Arabidopsis thaliana: one gene and its partners. The protein of the gene in region 4 interacts with the protein of the main gene of each other region in a pairwise test. Each region holds a gene or a part of one and is shown on either strand. Other genes may lie near its edges. The genes, in order: RCAR1, ERF8, CPUORF7 and AT1G72210.

Region 1 (3,532 bases), about 27 Mb from region 4:
GATTCCGAGGTTGTGACCTGGTAACGCGATGCTTGGTTCTCGCCATTGATTTTTACTGCTGGAGAAATCGCACCATGAGAGAGAGAGAGGAATCGTAAAATCGGAAAAGAGAATCGACGAAAACTGCGATTATGAAAGTCACCTGCTGAGAAATTTCCCGCTAGATACGAAAAGATTAGAAGATTGGAGCGGAACTTTTACTTTCCCGCTCGACACTCAAATTTTGATTTTAAAATCGAATCTGCTTCACAATTTGTTTCAGTCAAGAGTCTCTCTGAACAACTTATTACAATTTGCACTAAACCTGTGGCTTCACATAGAGGGTTCGACTCGATTGTTAGCCTTCTTTAGTTCCTGTTTTACCCCTGGTCTGTATACAATATTACATTCAAATATGTACCTGTTTGTTTAGATGAAAATTGGAAACAGAGGGGAATAGGTTTTGTGTGTTTTACCGTTAAACCTCAATTCAAAATCTTTGTCTCTCTCTCTCTCTCCCAATTTATGCTCATCTTTTCAAGTTAATGAAATTGACACAGTTTTTCAACTTTCTGCCTCAGATTCTTTACAAGTTCTCAGCATCCAATCATAGGTTCTGTTCAATAGAGAAGTGGAATCTGAAGTCTACAGAAACATCTTTTGTGAACTATATATTATACATCATAAACCATTCACATTTACATTGTTTACAAAAATATCTACAAATAACAAACCACCAGGAGATATCTTACATCAAAACTTCACCATTGGGACAATATGTACATCTTTTTAGACTGGTCATTACCGAGGATAGATATCTATATATATATCTAGGCCAAACCAAAAAAATCCTGAAGAATATTGATTATATCACAAACTGGAATTGATACTTCACTTCAATGCCCTTGTTCATTGATTATGTAGTTCACTGAGTAATGTCCTGAGAAGCCAATCTTTCAGAAACATCTGCTAGTGACTTGAGATTACATCTGATAAGTGCTTCAACAAAGTAGCAAGTCTCATCCTTTGTGTTACCTTGAGGAACATCAACTACAAACGATTCAATCACCATCGTTCCTGCTCTTCCCTCGATTATCTCCGGATGAACCGTCAAAATCGACGAGTAATTCTGCAAACAAACAATCAATGAGAATCTGCATATAAACAAACATCAATGAGATTTGATTTCTCTCGCTGTACCTTAAGTCTGTGATCACCACCGATGATTTTGATACCGAGGATGTGTTCTTCATCATCAAGAAGTTCTAATCTCTCAGTAGATGTTGTTGCAGGAAGACCAGATTTAACATTGACTTCTCTAAGACTGCCGATTTCAGGATCACCGATTACTGTACATCTGCTCACAAACGGTTTGTATTTCTGCGGCTGATCAAATCTCCGTACAAGTGACCAAACCTAAAAAAAATCAATTATAATCAATCGTTAAACAGAGATTTGGGGGAAAAAACCCTAAATCGATGGTTGGGATCAAAATTGACGGATCATGGAGAAAATGGTACGAAAAGGGTGAAATTAGTGGTAGATTGGAGAAGCTTACGAGATGAAGAGGAGCTTTGATGTGTTTGACAAGAGCAGAGGTACACTGGTTTTCTCTGCACAGATGTTGATGATGCGTCCGTACGTATTGCACCGTCTCGAGACCACCGTACATCGCCGTGCCGCCTTCAACGCCGTCCATCATATCTCTCTCTCTCTCTCTCTCTTTCGTTCTTCGTTGTTATCTCACAAGGGAGAATCTCTGGAAATGGATAATAAATACAAGGAAGAAGAAGAAGATGCTTCGTTATGCCAAAACAAAATTACTTGTTTATGTTTTTTGGTTTCTTTTAATGAACCCACCGACATAATAACTTTTTACTTTTGTACCTAAACTCTTTTTTATAGCTTCCTTCTTCTCCTTCACACATTTTCAGCTTTTCAAACCAAACAAAAACACAACAAGATACTAATTTTTTAATGTAACAAAAAAACAAAATATTTAAGCAAGTTTTATTGTATGACGTTTTGGGGACCTATATAATCCGAACAAAACAAAACAGATTGCTTAGATAATTATTTGTTTTGATTAGGTAAGATCGTTTCAAACTTTATAGATAGTTTTGTTAATTTAAATTCAATTTTAGACCATATTCATTATAATAGCTAATTTTTTAGACACAAAATGTCGTTAATATACCAGAAATTTATAAATGAGTGATTCTCCATGTATCAGGTCTCATATGTCTTAGACCACATCTTATTAGATATAGCTCTCGTTGCCTTTAAACCTTGTTGTTAAACATTAATTAATTGTATCAAGCTAAATGTCTAACACCATATCCTATCTGCAAAGTGACTGTTCCATGTAGTCATGTACGACACGTAAGGTGTAATTTCTCTTCTAGGAGGAGAAGGCATTTCTACAAGAAGATTGGTACAAGGCATCCACAATCTAAAATCATGAAACAAGAACTTTAATCTGTTTGAGACAAAGTCCTTAATTATATCATACCGAATGTAGACAAACTAGTTTTTGTTAAATTGTATTTGTTGTGAATCACACCTCATACGAAGGAAAGATGAGATACCACAAAGAATCTACAATAAATCATCATTCGATTCATCTCCACTAGTCTAAAGTTGCCCCTCCTCCATCTTCTTCGTGAAACTCAAGCTTTCGAAACATATGGTGGAAGTCACTTTTGATAACCACCGCCGCTAATTACGCTTTCTAACCAGTAATATTAATGGATTACTATATAATTAGTGAATTCTATTTCTTTCTTTTTTGAATTCTACTTTTGTTTTTCCCAAAGGAGAAAAGACTCACCTTTACTTGGTTTTCTCAAACAAAAACAACATAATCACTTTTTAGATAAATCTAGTTAAATGATTACTTATCTAATTATCTTCTAACATATGTATTAATTATGGTTTAAGGTTTTCATAACGAACAATCTTCCGATTTTGTAACCATTTTAAACAACACATATAATTGTAACCGGAGGTTTTCTTGTTCAATATGAATATGGTTTATGCTTACATATCTCATTAATTGTCTGAAATTGACGTTATGATAAAATAGGGATTTAGTTTATATATAACATTTTCTGCAATCATATTTTTTAAAAAATGTTAAGTGATAATATAGTACTTAAAAGAGCGGTAATTGACGATAATTACAGTAACCTTATCAGATAAAAATTTACCCAAAACAAAGCTTATCGGATAGGATCACCTTTGGCACTAGCTAGGCATGCGAACTTAAACGCAAAAGACGACTTTGGCGTAAATTATTAACTGCTTCAAGATAAAAACAAGGAGCCTTTTTAGTGACAGCGACAATGAGCTAAATACGGTTAAATAATAGGAAACCAATATACGTGTCATATTTTCATTGGTTTATTGTCTGTCATTTTCATGTTCACGTATTATGTCGTTTCTCGTGAACTTGACACGTGTAATTCTTCTTTTTGTTCATTTGGATAACTTTTTTGCCGGCCAATAGGTTCCGAATCTTTTCGAATTAACCAATACCACAAAAAAAACAGAC
Region 2 (3,286 bases), 7.4 Mb from region 4:
ACTGTTTTATACGTTTTTTGATCACAAAGTTGGCGACAAGAATCAAAATCAAATCTCATCCTTCCTTTGTCTCTCATTATGAAGCCGCCGCTCTTCTTATCTTCAACTTCCTTAAAACATTTTTACCATTTCAAATCGAATACTATTCAACTTAAGCAAGACTCTTAACCATCTGTTAATAAATCATCGGAGTTAAAAGAGTTGATGCAAAACACAAAAGTCAAAAGTTAGAAAAGCAGTCCAAACTGTGAAAATGACGTAAGCGTAAAGAAGTATTCTTCTAACGTACGCCGCAGCCAGAGAAGATGGGTCCGGTCCTCCCACGATTGGTGCGTGTCTTCACGACACTTGGACCATTGTCTTTTCAAGCCGACGACGACGATACTCATCACTATATTTAGTCTTATAATAATAACATTACCATTCTTTATCTATTTCTTCTACACACGAGCCCCAAAAAGCTCTATAATACTTTATCTTTTCAATTACGAATTTACGATGATGCATTTCCTTGGCAAATACTAAAGAAAAAAAAAAAGCTTAAGATCCTCTTATGTTACGTCGATTTATAATAGGGTTTCATAATAATATATACATAACGACTTTTTTTTCACGGCAGCTAAAAATTATATTGGAGCTTTTCTACACTTTCTTCTAAAAAACGGATAATATTTTTTTCTTAGGCAGAAAAAAAAAGGAAACGTTATTTTTTTTTGTCTAAAGAAACGACATAAGAAAAAAAAAACTCACGGCCTATTCCGCCGGAGGAGCTAAGTTAAGATCCAGATCTAACGGCGGAGATATCTTCCCAGCTCCACCTTCGAAATCAACGACCGACGACGTTTCAGACTCGCTCTGGACACCACACGTCGTCATCTTTGGATACGTCGCCATGTTATAGTAGTAAACCGGATGCACAAGCGGGATCTTACGACGACACGCGCCGCCGCCGCCTAAGCTGAGCTCGAGGTGCGGAGGTGTTATAAACCGTGCCGCCGTGGGAGAGTCGACGACGGTGCTACTCTGAGTAGGACTACTACCAACGATAACACCGAAATTGGTCTTAGCCTTAACACCACGAAAGTCACGCGCGGCTGCGTCGTAAGCACGCGCCGCCTGCTGAGCGGTGTCGAACGTACCGAGCCAGACTCGAGTTTTCTTAACCGGATCTCGGATCTCAGCGGCGTATCTTCCCCATGGACGTTTCCTAACGCCTCTGTAACGAATCTCTTTGGCAGCATTACTCTCATGATGAGTCGGGTTCGTTGGAGCAACCGGGTCGGGTTTCAAACCCATGGTGATGTTGGGCATGGTGTAATTAGGAAGAAGAATGGAACGAGAAGATCGGTGAAAGAGTTTTGTGGTAACGAGAAGAAGTAGAAGAGCTTCTTTTTATAGGAGAGTAAAGCAACGCTCCTTTTGGGGAGCTTTCTTGTGAACAGTCAAAGCCATTTTGAGAGATGGTTTAATTATCTCTCTCTCATGCTTCTCTTATTTCATATAAAAACTGGTTTTTGTTATTATATCCACTTATGTTTTGCCACGTGTTCACTTCTCTTTCTCCAAAAGAATCTTATTTATTACCCTTTTTCACCTTTGTAACAAAGACTGCACAAATCACAATCTTATAAATTAAGTTACTGCCTATTAAGAATATAATATAATTTGGTTTTTGCTGCATTTATCCCTATTTAAACTAGGAACATATTTGTACTAAATCTATAAAACATGTTATATCGCCACTTTGCAATTTTAAGTAATTTTTCTTATTAAAGCAATGTAATATGCGGATTTAAATCTATATAATGACATAACAATAATACTAGTATACACTATTAAAGAGTGTTATTAGTTTGTGATTTAATTAAAGTTTTAGTAACTTAAAATATTATAAAGAATCTATTGTTATTCAATTAAAAAAATTTAAAATATTAAGATTTGTAAAAAATAATTTAAAATCTTGATAAATCTATAGTTATTGGATTTATACTTTTATAAAATTATTATAAATTTTATATTATTTAGCTAAAACAAAAGAATCTATAATTGTCAATGAATTAAATTATTGTGTTATTGGTTTATGATTTTCTACACTTTTTCCAAAATAAAGTTACGAAAAGTATCATTAAAAAAGAAAGATTGTTTGAGAAAATTTAGAAATTGTGAAAAACTAATCAACAAGATTATAGAAAACTCTATAATAATAGTTTAGAAACTTTCATTTCTTTACAATCTATGATTTTATCAGATTCTTGAATTTTTTTTAATTAATTAAGAACTAATAACACCCTTTTAAACTATATGTTTTAGTTAGGTCAAGATTTATATATATATATATATAATATAAACTATTGTGTGTGTATCTAGTAGAAAAAATATTCAAACAAAATTATCGAATTTGTAGTTATATATGTTGTTAACACATAAACAAAAAAAAAAAAATTTGTAAGAAAATATATAGCGAACAAAATTTCTGAATTTGTAAATTATATACCGTTACATATATATATCGTTAAAGTGTCGACAAAAAAATATTTCTTACTTTTCTGTTTGGTAAAAGTAAAAATTATTTGAAATTTGTAATTTAGCGGATGTTACCATGATGACAATATATAATTTAGCGGATGTTACCATGAAAGCTTATTTGGTATAAAGGGAATAGAATAAAAATTTGTACTTTAGTATACCGTTATTCCGTTATAAATGTCGTTAACGAGCCGACAAGAAAAAAAAAATCTATTATTTACATGCTTATATCTGGTGAAAAATAAATATTATCAAACAAAATGACCAAAATTTTATATTGTAGTGGATTTTATATATGACGATATCATGACGAACAACGCATATATACTATTTGTGTATTTATTTGGTAAACAAAATATTATCAAAATAAATTTTTAGATTTATAACTTAGTGAACTATTTTATATATCGTGTATATACAAAAAAGAAAGAGATATCTACTACTTGCATATGTACATTGGATTAAAAATGAACACCATCAAACAAATAGATTCGAATTTGTTAGTTCTGTGGAGAAAATATACGTTGTTACAGTGACGGAAAAAAATGTCGCTACAGTGACAACAATAAAAAGACAAATCTATTATTTACATGCATATTTGTTTTTGTTTTAAAGAATACTATGGAATATATATGTTGGCTTTTATAGTTTAAAAGACTTTTATATATGTTGTCTATCGTGTTACCAATGTATATATATGATTGTAGTTAGAGTAAAGTATAATATAATCTAGTCAAATAAACGCACAACAAAAACTTTT
Region 3 (6,883 bases), on a different chromosome or scaffold from region 4:
AACTCTCGTGTCATAGCCATATCAGTCTCTGACTACCAAACCTAATCAAACTCAAACTTCAATTATTGACGAATGCGATTGGTTATAAGCAAAAAGAAATAGAAAAGCCTCCACCTTTAGAGTATCAGAGGAGCAAAACAGAACCCTAATACCGCCACGAAGGAAGTATGATCGGAGGAGATAAGCGAGGAGCAGAAAGGAGAAGCCTTTGAAGTCGATTCATCAGACTCAACAACGCCACAGTTTCGACAAGAGGTAGAAAAGAGATTTTGCTTCTGAACCCGAGATTCGAAGGAACAAATTTTATGCCCTTACTCTCTGCAGCGAAGAGACTGTGGCAGAACAGGGACTAGTGCTGGTGAAAGTGAAAGCTTTCTTCTTTCTAAGACTTCTTTGTTTGGGTTTAGTGTTTGTTGTTTACTCAGTTTTGATTATGATAATTACAATGCATGCTTGCAAATTTCTAACCATTAATTTATAATTCCACAGCTTGCAAATCAAACGTATGAAGAAAATCAAAGTTTCAAGTCATGTATATATACAAACTTCAAAGGGTCCAAAAACTCAAAAGCAAACAAATGCAAATCATAAACACACTAAACACTCAACTTTGAAGTCCTATCTTTTATACAAAAAATCAAAACAAACAAATGAAAGTATTGCAGTGAGTGTCACAACAACACTGTACAAGCCCACACAAGCCTATTCTTTATCTTACGTAAACGCAAACTCTGCAACCACGCCTGTTACCCCTTCTCATTGGCCTTTGGTTGAAATATTTGCACCAGAGACCACAAAATGTCCATCCTCTGCATTACTTTGCTGTTTTGGCTCTGCCATTCATATATCAGTATCTCGATGTTAGTCAGTCATATATATCATACTAATCCAAAGTTCAATCAAAACCAAGGAAAATACTTTGATTTGCTTTGGAATCTCTTTCATGAATTGGGTAATTCGACTTCCTACCTCAGTTACAAAGCATATCCATGTTTTCTCGCCCTGAGTCTCGGTGAAACCTCTTAGGATGACGAGGTCTAAGCTCCTTATGACGTTTGCTATCTCAAGAAAATGGCCACATTCTTCACATAACATCTGTCCAATACCCAAAAATACTTTTAATACACACTCGCAGAACTTGGGACTCGAGTTCAAACAAAGATTAAACTAAACCAAAGAAAAGAGACAAAATGTAAGATTACATACCTCGATAAGCACCATCCCCTGCTTGTTCAGATTCTCCACGATGATCGAGCTTACTTGAAGATGACCTCCAACCTCCACTGCGCAGCTTGAACCTTGCATACCAGTTTCCTTTTGTTGCATCTGAGATTACAAAGGTATAAGCTAATTTTGATATTTACTTCTGATTTTCAGTTGAGTTTTTCTATATATCTCCATGTGCCTAATAATCCTATCTTCTCATTCAAGGATTCAGAAATTTGATCCACTATTTGCTACATCAATCAATCAAACCTAACAAACTGCTTAATGTGTTCATTTACAAACTATGGAGGCTGGAATAAAAATTTCTAGGATAGAACAGAGATTATCAGTTATCAAGAAAGCTGACATTTTTACCTTTTCATTAGCACTTTTACTGAGCTTTTCAGCATGCTTAGTAACATTCTGCAAAAAGAGCATGTGTTTGATCGTTCGTTCTAGCAAAGAATCGATACTGCACTGAAAATGTGACAAAAATATTAGTGAATGACAAAAATATATTATAAGTTAAATTCATTACAAAGGAAGGTGCAAGTAATCTTGTAGCTAGGAAGAGAAAAATCACCTTAGATCCATTAGGCACAAGTTCTCTAAGTTCCTTGATTCGATCTTGAATAAGTTGCCTGTCTCTTGGGCGAGGTCGAGAACTTTCACCAGGTTTGGCCCTCTTTTTGTTCTTCTTGGGTATGTCCAGGGATGTCTGAAACTGATCACTAGAGGAGCTGGGGTACGTAGATGAGAATCCAATTGAAGAAAACGCTCCACAAATATCTGATGAATTTTGTTGGGTATCCACCTCTGCCATTGGTGGCTGATTCATAGCACTATTAATTGGGTTAACAATATTATGCTTCTTCTGACCTGAGGGTTCTGCCAGTTCCATGTTAGTAAGCAATGATTGTACCGATCTGCTCGACATCATATCATCCCTCGCATTACCATCTCTTTGACACACATTAGCAACCACAGCATCTAGAAGATTCTCAGGGCCAGGGTCAAACGTGAGCTGGCTATGACTCATATCGTCTGTTGGTCTCATTGTTGAACCATGTTCAGACTTCAGTAGCTCCTCCTGACCAGTGTTCGTTTGCTTGAAAGCAGAGCCTAACGCTTCTAGTAGCTCGCTGCCAGCAAAAGTATACCCAGATGAGATCAAAGCATCAAATTGACTAGACTCGCAGTTCCTCCCCAGCATACGCTCAGTCTCTTTTATGTATTTATTTCCTTGGTTCTCAGATAGTTGGAACACTTCATTATGGTAAGAACTTTCTTTATCTGTTCTCGAGGTAGCCTGAAAAGTTGAGTCCAGGCGTGGATATGATTGGCTTGTTATCAATCTTTCAGCCTCAATTGCTAAAGCAGATGTGCTTGTATCATTGAGCACATGATTCTTCATATACAGATGTAAATTAGGATCTAAATCCCTTGAATCTTTGCAGCCACTAGTCATTCCCACATGAGGTGCATCCCTGATTATATTAGTACCTACTTGATTCTCATGTTTGGCACCAACCAAGTCAACTGGAAAGCCAAACGTAACACCACTATAACTCCCACAAGTAGATCCTTGCACAACTTCACGACCACCAACAACTTGGGCTGCCTTCTCCATGACAAGACATGACGAAGGAGTATTGTAAGGCATGCTATCACTTCTTCTAGTTTTGTATTGAGTTAGAATATTGGACTCTTCCACGTCCATAGCTTTGTCAACTTCTCCAGAGCAATCAGGGAAAGCCTCAGCATGTAAACCTTCAGAAGGCATTTTTGGCTGCAACAAAATTATACAACACATCATGGTCTACTCAGGAAGTCAGTGGAGGTTTGAGTAACTGTTAGAAGAACCCTAAGCACTTTACTCTCCCCATTTTGCAAATAACAAGAAATCTAGAAAAAACATGAATCCATATTTGAATGAAGAAGATCTTTACCAGACATAACGAATTGTTCATATTACATTGCCTTAAATTTGCTGCATGGTCTGCCAATGGATCCCTAAGTGCCAGAAATAAATGTCGGATATGATTCACAAAATTCACATCTTCATTAACCTGCTCCAAACAAATACAAAATAAGACCAGATATGTATATATGTGCCATCTATTATAAGTGTGCAGGTGTTCTTCCTGGCTATTATTTTGTAACTGCGAACACCGCATCCAATTTTAAGATCTTACTTACTTTACACAAAGAGCCTAGCTGAACAACTCCACATGGACCAACAGCTACTACAAGAATGGTCTGCGGAGAAGGAAGAATAGATATTTTAAAAAGGAAAGTCTCCAGTGGCAAACTTTGAGGATGTTCTTGACAAGTATGTATAATAAAGCAGACAGAAAGAGCACTAAAGAAAAATCCAAATACCTTAATTCCAGCAGAAATTTGACTTTCCCAAACGTTATGAAACTGTAATTAAAAAAAGACATTTGGTTTAAAAACACGAAGAAAACAAATTTAATTTCAGATAGAAAGTCCCTAACCTCAAATGCTGAGTTACAGTTGTTATAATTTTCGGGAAATACCCATTGGTGTTCTCCAGAAACTGCAACTTGTCCTACAATCCTGTTTATATAGATATGATAACATAATTCAACAATAGACCCAAGATTGTTAACTATTGTAAAAGCTAACATCAAGCTCAAGGACACAACAAAAGCTTTGCATTATGTGGCTACTGTCAAATAAAAAAAGAAGGAAAAAGGGCACATCAAACTATAGGCATGATAAGAGTGAATCAGAGCAATATATTCTTACCCTTCCCCTAGAGAATAGACATGATAAGACATCTTTGCCACAGCTAACCCAAGGGGGTCATGTGCTCCATGCATATTCGTCCCATGATGGTCATAGTAAGCATCCTCCAAGGTAAGTACCCTACAGGTGTTCATTATTCAAAAAATTGAGAAACTATCTGGTCAACTAAAACACTAAAACATATAAAGAAATAGAATCCTGAACTGCACACAAAACTTAAAAGTACAGAAACAATCTTCAGACACTTAAACTACAATTGTTAACTTAAAGCTGCTGCATTTCGATATAAGGTTCCATATTTCCACTCTAGCAAGTTGAAGTCAATACACCTAAATCAATTACCACAGTTCTAACTCGTAGACAATTATAATGATCCACCACGCAAAGACAGTAAAGAGAATTGTTTAGATGACTCACATTCGAGATCCTCGATGATTAAGTTGCCAGAACACAGCATAGTCCCAGTCCGTGTTAAAGCAAAAGCTCTTCAGTATCTCTTGAGAAGTAGAACCCATTCTAAAGGGTAAACCTCAAAACCCCGGACTCAAAAACCACAAATCAGAACTCTAAACAGTTGTTTTATACTATCTCCTCCCCAACCTCTAATAAAAAAAAAAAGAAGCTTCTTTTGATTCGTTTTCGATGAGATACAAAGTAACTAACTACCTCTGTAAGAACCTCTTCCAGCTTGTTCCCTTCGTAAACCAGCTCTTGGTTTTATGGGCGGACCTACTTCATCTTGTGATATTTGCCTCTTACCCATCCCTCCCAAAGATACAAACTTTGAATCGGATTACGAATAAAAACCCAAGAAGGAAACTAATTTAGCCCTAGCTCAAACAAAAAACACCGAGAGAATCAGAATTTGAAACAGAGATAGATCTGCTGCAACTGCTACTCGCCATGGGAGAAATCAATATTGAAAATTCAAAAGCTAGAGAAGAAGAAAGAAGACAGTAGAAAAGGAAGCAGAGAGAGACAGAGAGATTGTAAGAAAGAATCGAGTTTAGCTTATGTCAGAAGATATTGATTAACTACAACAGTTGATCTCTGCATCACTCAGAGACACTAACAATCTCAGCCCAGAAATTCGCCGGAAAAAGGAAAGAACAGAGATAGAGATAGAGAGAGAGAGAGGGTAAAGGAGGCAGAGGTAAGCTAAAAGACGTTCCTTTTTAAAAGGGTGAAGGAGAAATCGAGCAAGTAAGCGGGTGAATCACGCACCATGCTCATTTTAGCAACGAAAGGCCAAGGATCGGTGTGCGCATGTTAACTATTCGAGTTAGTGGGATGGTGAGTGTGTGTGTGTTTGAGGGTATGGGATTTTATGGAGATAGGATCTCTCTCTCTTATAGAGTAATGGCCAGCAAAATGATTCACCAACTGAACTTTGCTTCCTTCTTTACTTTTTTTTTTACCCATTACTCACAAATTTATAAAATATTTTACACATTGCACTAATTTATCGTGTGTTTAATTACAAATTCATCACATTAACATCACAATCTTTTTTGTATTTCCCGCGGAAATTGTGCGCTAAACATTGTATACTCGGCTCGTTTACCGAAGTTGTAGGAAGTCTACTATGAATTGTATATCCCATGGGAGAAGAGAGTGATGAGGCTAGAGCTGCGGAATTAGTGGTAGGATTCTTAAAGGCAAGAGTTTGTGAGTCGAACCCAATTGTCTTTCTTGATAAGTTTGTATCATATATTTTATCTACAGAGTAGATAATTCGAATCTCGTATATGTATAAAGAGGTTAACCGTCTAGCAAAAATATTAGTGAACTATGTATATACTTTACTTTAAGGTGTCTATTTGTTTGATTTGACTCATACGTTGGTGGATAAGATTGTAAAAAAAAATGTTTGAGGAATTGCGTTTTCGAGGCTCATTCGTCTATAGTTTAATTTTTTTTTTATTTTGAATAAATTTTGAAGAGACAATTGTTTTTCCCATATACTATTAAAATATAATACTTTTGTAATAAAAAACCTATGATATTTAAAATGTTGTACATGTTTTATTACAACTTCCATAATAATTTTCCTTCTAATTCATAAGATAAAATATTCCGAAAATTTAGCAAGTGTCCCTCGTAGTCGTAGTGACAATCCTACTATATTATTTGGGAAGTACATTTTAAATATAACCTTAATTTTTGTAAGTAATTACATAGGTATGCCATTAGAAATAAAATTTTAAAAAGTAAATTAATTTATCTCTTTAAGGATTAAAAAGTCAAATACTAATTTAATTAATTAAATTAATTAAAAAACGAAATACAATATTAATTTCCAAAAATAATAGCCAATCAAAATCAACATATAAGATTTGATATCTAAATTTAATTAATTTAATTTAATTAGAAAAACGAAATAGATTATTAATTTCTAAAAAAGTAACCAATTAAAATCAACAAACTATATTTGGTATCTAAATTATCATATTAATTTTTTATTAATTATTATAGTTCACTTCTCATCTTTATATGATTCTATTTATACGGAAAAATAATATCATCATTATAAAAAAATAATTAGAGTTTTTTCGCATATGCCATAATTTGAATTTTTAAAAACAAATATAAACTGTTCAATACATGAAATAATATTATAACGGGTGAAAAATAGATTTAAGAAAACTTTCTACTGAGTAAGGGGACATAAATTTGAAATATTCATATTCAATTTCATACATATTATATTGAAAATTTATAATCTTATATATTACAATAGTTAATAACATATTAGATGTGATTCAATTTTTAATATAAGCTGAAAAATCCTAGAATTGACGGGTTTAGATCGATATTAATACAAGATGGTATACTACATGTGAAACTCTTAAATTAACAATCAAACTACAAGTGTATAATCTTAAACACTAAACAATATAGATAA
Region 4 (5,484 bases):
GAATTTTCAATGTGTTTCTTTGGAAAGGGATCTCCCTTTTGCGAATGTGCAAATATAGTTTTAAACTATGTTTGCTTACCCAAAAACTAGTGGTGGATTGAGTCTGAAAAGTCTCTCCGATTAGAACTTAAGTGTTCTCCGACCCCAGACTAGATTATTATTTACGATCGTATATGTGGCCCTTTGCGGGTGTCTTAGATGTCATGGGTGTTCAAAACATCTGATTCAGACCATGAGAGTCTCATCAAACTTTTTTCTTAATTAGCGCATATTTAGACATTACTTCACAAAATATACTATTCTAACTAATTCCTTCTTAAACGAACCGTGCAAAGCCGGTTATTCACGATATACCGAGTCTTTTAGGGACGCCTTCACATGACTCATACCGGTATATTTATATAAGTGTGGTTGAATTTTTTTCAGCTATCTCATAACCAGTCAAATTGTTCAAGCCTTTTTTTTATGTGTGGGAAAATTCAATTGCTCAAGCTTATAATTACTATTCTCGTATAGAGCTCTTAAAAGCTAGTTCCTCTTTTGTGATCAGGTCTAAAAGGTCAATCACACAAAAACTCCAATATATAATGCATTAGAATTAACGTTAACAAAAAGAAAAAGGAAATTTATATTATTTAATATATGAAAAAGAGAGAGCAAAAGATCACACATGAAAAATTAGAGCTCCTCTAAATGTGCCATAACTAAAATTCAACAATACTAGCTAAAGGATGACTCTTCTTCGATCCTCCTTAGGATTTGATTCACAGCTGCTGCAATATCTTCTACTGTATTCAATTGGCTCCCTTCTTCAACCTGAATAAACCCATTATTTTAATATTTTCTTTTAAGTTACATGAAAAAGATTGATATATAGTCATTGAAAAGGTAAAAAGATGATTAAAGAAAATGTTTATATTTCGAGGAAGAAGCTTATGAATGTGTCCTGAAACAAGTGGCGTCATTTCGTTCTGCCGTGCACAGTGCATCCACAGTGTTGTGACCACCAAACATGCCCAGTACACATATATATATACACACATTCACACATGTGTAGGCATATGTCATCTTTTTGGTCCCTGATTCTTACAAGAATCAATATTATGATAGTACTCAAAATTTTGTCTTTTTTAATAAATAAGAAATGATGATTTTGACCCCCCAATAATTGAGGCCAGCCCTAACCAAGTAAAAAAGAACGAGAAAAAAGGAACGATTTTTATTTTTGTTCTTGGAAAACCTTTTTTGGCCCAGACAAATAATTCACAACATGTACTAATAAGAGACACATTAAATGCACAAAACATTTGTGATTGGAAAAACAATCAATGAATAATCATTGAACCAAAACCAACAATGGGAGTAATGATTAGTCACCCATTAATTATTAGATACCAATTTAATTTGAATTTGCAAATTCAACCCACTAACCCTAAACAACGGTATTATATAACATGATCACTCTAATCTGGTTAGGAAAAAAAAAACAAAAAATGGTGAAAAAGAGAGAAAAAAATGTACCTTGACGCTGATGGAATAGAGGACGGAGTCGTCTCGAGTTGTGACGTTTAGATGGAGAAGAGTGAGCCTTAGGCTCTGTATCGATGAGACCAGTTTAAGAAGCTGTCTCGGTCTCTTTTTCGCAAGTATTTTCAGACTCGCATGGCTCTCTACCATCGTTACCTCTATCTCCGCCATCCCCTCAGCCGCCGCCGCAGAGGTAGGCCGGTTCGAGTACTGAGGAAATGCAAAGAAATCCGAGAATGGTCCCGACGAACTAGCCGAGGTTGTTTTGGTCTGGTCGTGGCCGGCTCCGGTGTCTTCTGTGGCGGTCTTAACCGGAGGTTCCATTGATTGTAAATGATGCTCAAGCTCCTTTAAGTAGTTAATGGCTCCGCCTACTATCGATGCTTGATCTCCCTTTAACCACCACCAACCTTATGTTAGTCTAGCACATAGAAATTGCAAAAGGTTTTGCAAAAACAATCAAACATGTCTATATTTCGTACCTTAATTTTTTAAAAAATATATTATGTCACCATCTCATTATAAATCTATAATATGTATAGTCCTTTTTGGGTGCAATGATGTTCAAGACTTTATTTATGCTCCCACAATTCCACTAACAAAATTTTCATTTAGAGACTACATGATCTAATAAAATTATGAAAAAAAGAAATAACGACTTTCGTTTAGTTTTTATTTTTTGTCAATATATATAACGGCTTTCATTCATCTATCATCATTCTCAAATTTATATTTCAAAACATATAAACATACATGCATATGACATATCTATGTATAGCCTATGCATGTCCTAATTAGCTGAAAGCCTAGAACATAGGCTTTGCTTTTTTTTTTTTTTTTTGACACGTCAAGAAATACAGCTAAAGGACTGAATATTTCACGCGCTCACACTCACATATACATATAACTGTTGTATGTAGAGACTAACCCTTTGAGCATAATAAGGTGGCATGAGAGACCGGAGAACGGCGAGGTACTCGTTCATCTGTTTCCGGCGATTTCTTTCAACGGCGATGTGAGTCATCCTCTGGTTCTCGATCTCTTCTTTGTTCTTGCTACTCCTCGTCCTCCTCCTTTTCCTCCTCCCTCCTCCCGCCGCCACATCCGACGGTGGAGGCTGGCTCTCGGTGTCGACGGCAGATCCATAAGGAAGGTCTCGTGGCCATTGGAGATCCTCTTCGTTGTAATTATAATCATCACTATAATCTCCGGTTCTACCGTTGTAATTATTACTCGCAAAACCATGTCCTTGTCCTTGCCCTAGCTTAATGTTGTTCTTAGTATCTTGTGGATCTTGATCTTCTTCTTCTTGAAAGTATAAGTCGTAAAACGGAAAATCTTTGCAAGAGATGTAGGAGAACGGATCTTGCGGGTAAACTACAGCCTCCAAGGCCATAATTAGCTAGAAAATTGCTTGAAATATTAAAATTACACTTGAATATGAAAAGGTTTCCAGCGAGAGAGAAAAAGAGAGGAAAAAAAAAGAGGACAGAAAGTGTTTCTCTTTCTCTTTTTGTCTCGAGAGGGAGACAAGGCAAAAGGTAAAGACACTCTAGGGAAATTAAACTTGTAATTATCCCTCTACAAGAAAGAAAAAAAATCAACAGAAATTTGTTCTCAAAGAACTAAGTAAACTTGAAGAAGAAAAGACAAGAGAAGTACTCAAAAAAAGGTCAAACAAAGTTGTGGTTTGATCTATGGAATAGAGGAGAAGCTTGTGAGGTTATAAAGCTGATTTAACAATAGAAGGTCCGAAGAAAATCGAAACCAACTGAGTTCAGAAAAAGTAGAGATATAGAGAGAGAGAGATCGTGTATGTTTGGTTTTGCACGTGAGATTGTAGACCGGTCCACAAAACCAAAGAAAAGATTCTGTGTGTTTTTGCAGGCTTTGGGGTTCGTCTTGTTACACTCATGTTCGAAGAGAGAGAAATTATAACATGTTGAAATATCAACTTTATACGTTGCCATGAATTTAATATTTTTTTGCCGTATACCATGTGAGTCAAAATGTAATCTAATGAAAGCTATATCCCAAAATTTAGAGTGTTTGCGGTGATAATTATGTCGTCTATCCTCTTTTAGGTATTCAAACAATAATTTGCTTCTATTGTGCGTGTGTAACGCGTATTGATGGACAGGAAGAGGAAAGAGAGCTTGACATCAAAGTTTTTTTTTGTTTCTATGTATCAGCCGACGTCAAAGCTTTATAAATTCGAAATCTAAAGGCTTATTTATACGAGTATTTTTTCCCCGAACCATGCGGAGACAATGACCGCTGATTTATTCTTTTTATATGAAATCATATCGTTTATCACATAACCCTACCCGTAATGGAATAACCGTAAAAAAACATCAAGACCATGCATGGGTCCGAAAGCATATTGCCTTTATATAGATACAACTCTTGGAAATCACGATTTGTAGAGTAAAAAATAAATTTTAAATCAATAAATGTGCTTAATTAATTTTACAATCTATCAACTAGTTTTTGATTAGTAAATTTTGGCTTTTAAAGTAATAGAATCCTGATGACAACTTAGAGTAAATATTATAATTTCGTAGCAGTAACATTCGTTCAATAGTTTAAATTTTATATAGGAGAGAAATGTTGAGAGACAAAAAAAAAAGGAGAGAAATGTTGAGAAAATCATCTTCATCAATCATCATACATGATAAATGTTAATATATTAAATAAATAAATAAAAACAGAACAAAAATGTATTTTGAAGGAAATGAAATTTACTGTTAATGAATTTTCTAAAATAAACTTTTAGTTTGGGGCAAAGTGAATAATACTATAACTTGTTGGTCGTGCGATTGAATGCAATTACTCGGTGGTAAACTATTTTATACCGCCGAAAAATGGTTAATATATATATATATATATATATATATTGTCACAAAATTTATAGTAAAAAAAGAAATAATAGTAACAACAATATCATATAATTTGAAAATATGTGTTCTTTTTTTAAAACAAGATAATATTAGAAAACATTTAAAATATTAAGATTAGAAGACATTTAAAATATGTAAATTTGTCTTAAAAATATATTTTCAACTGTCTGGTTCCCATGTCTTTGATACTTAAAAACAACTGTTTAAAAAAAAAAAAAAAAAAAACTTACGTGGATATTGATTAAGAAACAGAAATTGAGAGATAAAAATTACTCGACTATGCAAGTTTCGAATGTTCGTAAAATGATGATGATCAAACCATATTCAACTCAAAAACCTGATCTTCCAATCTTGTACAAAAAGAATCCCTGATCTTCCAACTGATGATGGGAATTAAACACTCACATTTGCATTCAATCCACTTAGACGGACAAATTTGATCATAGAAAAAATTCACGGATAAAAATAAGAATAACATTTCGGCGTGTGGGGTAATGCTTTATTAATGTAATCATGTCATGCTTAAAACAAAGTATTCTTGATGTTGACATATGTAAGAATAAGAGACGATATCCCAACTTAATTTGTATATTAACTAGGTGGCATCTTTCCATTAGTCTAATTAATAATTATCGAACTTTTATGCGGTATAGAAGATGTGAGAATTAGATGGCTATGACACGACTTAGGGTTGCTGTGTAACAAAGTTGTTTGGTCGCTTTAACCAATAGAGGGAAGCAACAACTTAAATATGTGATGCAAAACGAAATCTAAGCGAAAAATCATTTGATCGAAACTCGAAAGAATCCCACTATTTAGAAACACGGTGGAAAATAAATCTAAGGCTATGATACTCTTGTCTCCTTTAAGTCCGTGTACCTCTAGTTTTTATTTGCGACATAAAAAGATACCATAATTTCAAAACCATCCAAGTAGTACTATAGTAGGCAAAAATAATATATAGTCCTAGGCTCCTAGCTAAATAATTTAGATATTTTTTTCAAGGATCGCCGAAGTTATAATTGATCAAACATAGAGATTGTTACAAGAATTAGTG

What was found.
Region 1: the proteins of AT1G72210 (region 4) and RCAR1 interact in binary tests that used the Arabidopsis thaliana proteins (3 or more experiments, as listed by UniProt).
Region 2: the proteins of AT1G72210 (region 4) and ERF8 interact in binary tests that used the Arabidopsis thaliana proteins (3 or more experiments, as listed by UniProt).
Region 3: the proteins of AT1G72210 (region 4) and CPUORF7 interact in binary tests that used the Arabidopsis thaliana proteins (3 or more experiments, as listed by UniProt).

The regions. Positions count from the first base shown.
Region 1 is NC_003070.9:140,287-143,818, reverse strand, and holds RCAR1 (regulatory component of ABA receptor 1), read right to left. Parts: upstream 1,950-3,532; 5' UTR 1,682-1,949; coding exon 1,538-1,681; intron 1,396-1,537; coding exon 1,180-1,395; intron 1,109-1,179; coding exon 905-1,108; 3' UTR 558-904; downstream 1-557. Other genes in the region: HTR12 (Histone superfamily protein), read right to left, coding at 1-46. UniProt on the Arabidopsis thaliana protein: Receptor for abscisic acid (ABA) required for ABA-mediated responses such as stomatal closure and germination inhibition.
Region 2 is NC_003070.9:19,820,786-19,824,071, forward strand, and holds ERF8 (ethylene response factor 8), read right to left. Parts: upstream 1,468-3,286; 5' UTR 1,312-1,467; coding exon 754-1,311; 3' UTR 552-753; downstream 1-551.
Region 3 is NC_003071.7:13,337,288-13,344,170, reverse strand, and holds CPUORF7 (transcription factor bHLH155-like protein), read right to left. Parts: upstream 5,085-6,883; 5' UTR 4,742-5,084; coding exon of another isoform or gene 4,645-4,741; 5' UTR 4,494-4,644; coding exon 4,396-4,493; intron 4,099-4,395; coding exon 3,979-4,098; intron 3,787-3,978; coding exon 3,705-3,786; intron 3,631-3,704; coding exon 3,589-3,630; intron 3,466-3,588; coding exon 3,406-3,465; intron 3,276-3,405; coding exon 3,156-3,275; intron 2,996-3,155; coding exon 1,790-2,995; intron 1,684-1,789; coding exon 1,582-1,683; intron 1,327-1,581; coding exon 1,207-1,326; intron 1,168-1,206; coding exon of another isoform or gene 1,096-1,167; coding exon 919-1,095; coding exon of another isoform or gene 862-918; intron 834-861; coding exon 747-833; 3' UTR 509-746; downstream 1-508. Other genes in the region: AT2G31290 (Ubiquitin carboxyl-terminal hydrolase family protein), read right to left, coding at 1-20. UniProt on the Arabidopsis thaliana protein: Transcription factor that may regulate root development.
Region 4 is NC_003070.9:27,177,505-27,182,988, reverse strand, and holds AT1G72210 (basic helix-loop-helix (bHLH) DNA-binding superfamily protein), read right to left. Parts: upstream 3,532-5,484; 5' UTR 2,924-3,531; coding exon 2,456-2,923; intron 1,921-2,455; coding exon 1,522-1,920; coding exon of another isoform or gene 1,459-1,521; exon of another isoform or gene 817-1,458; coding exon 721-816; 3' UTR 533-720; downstream 1-532.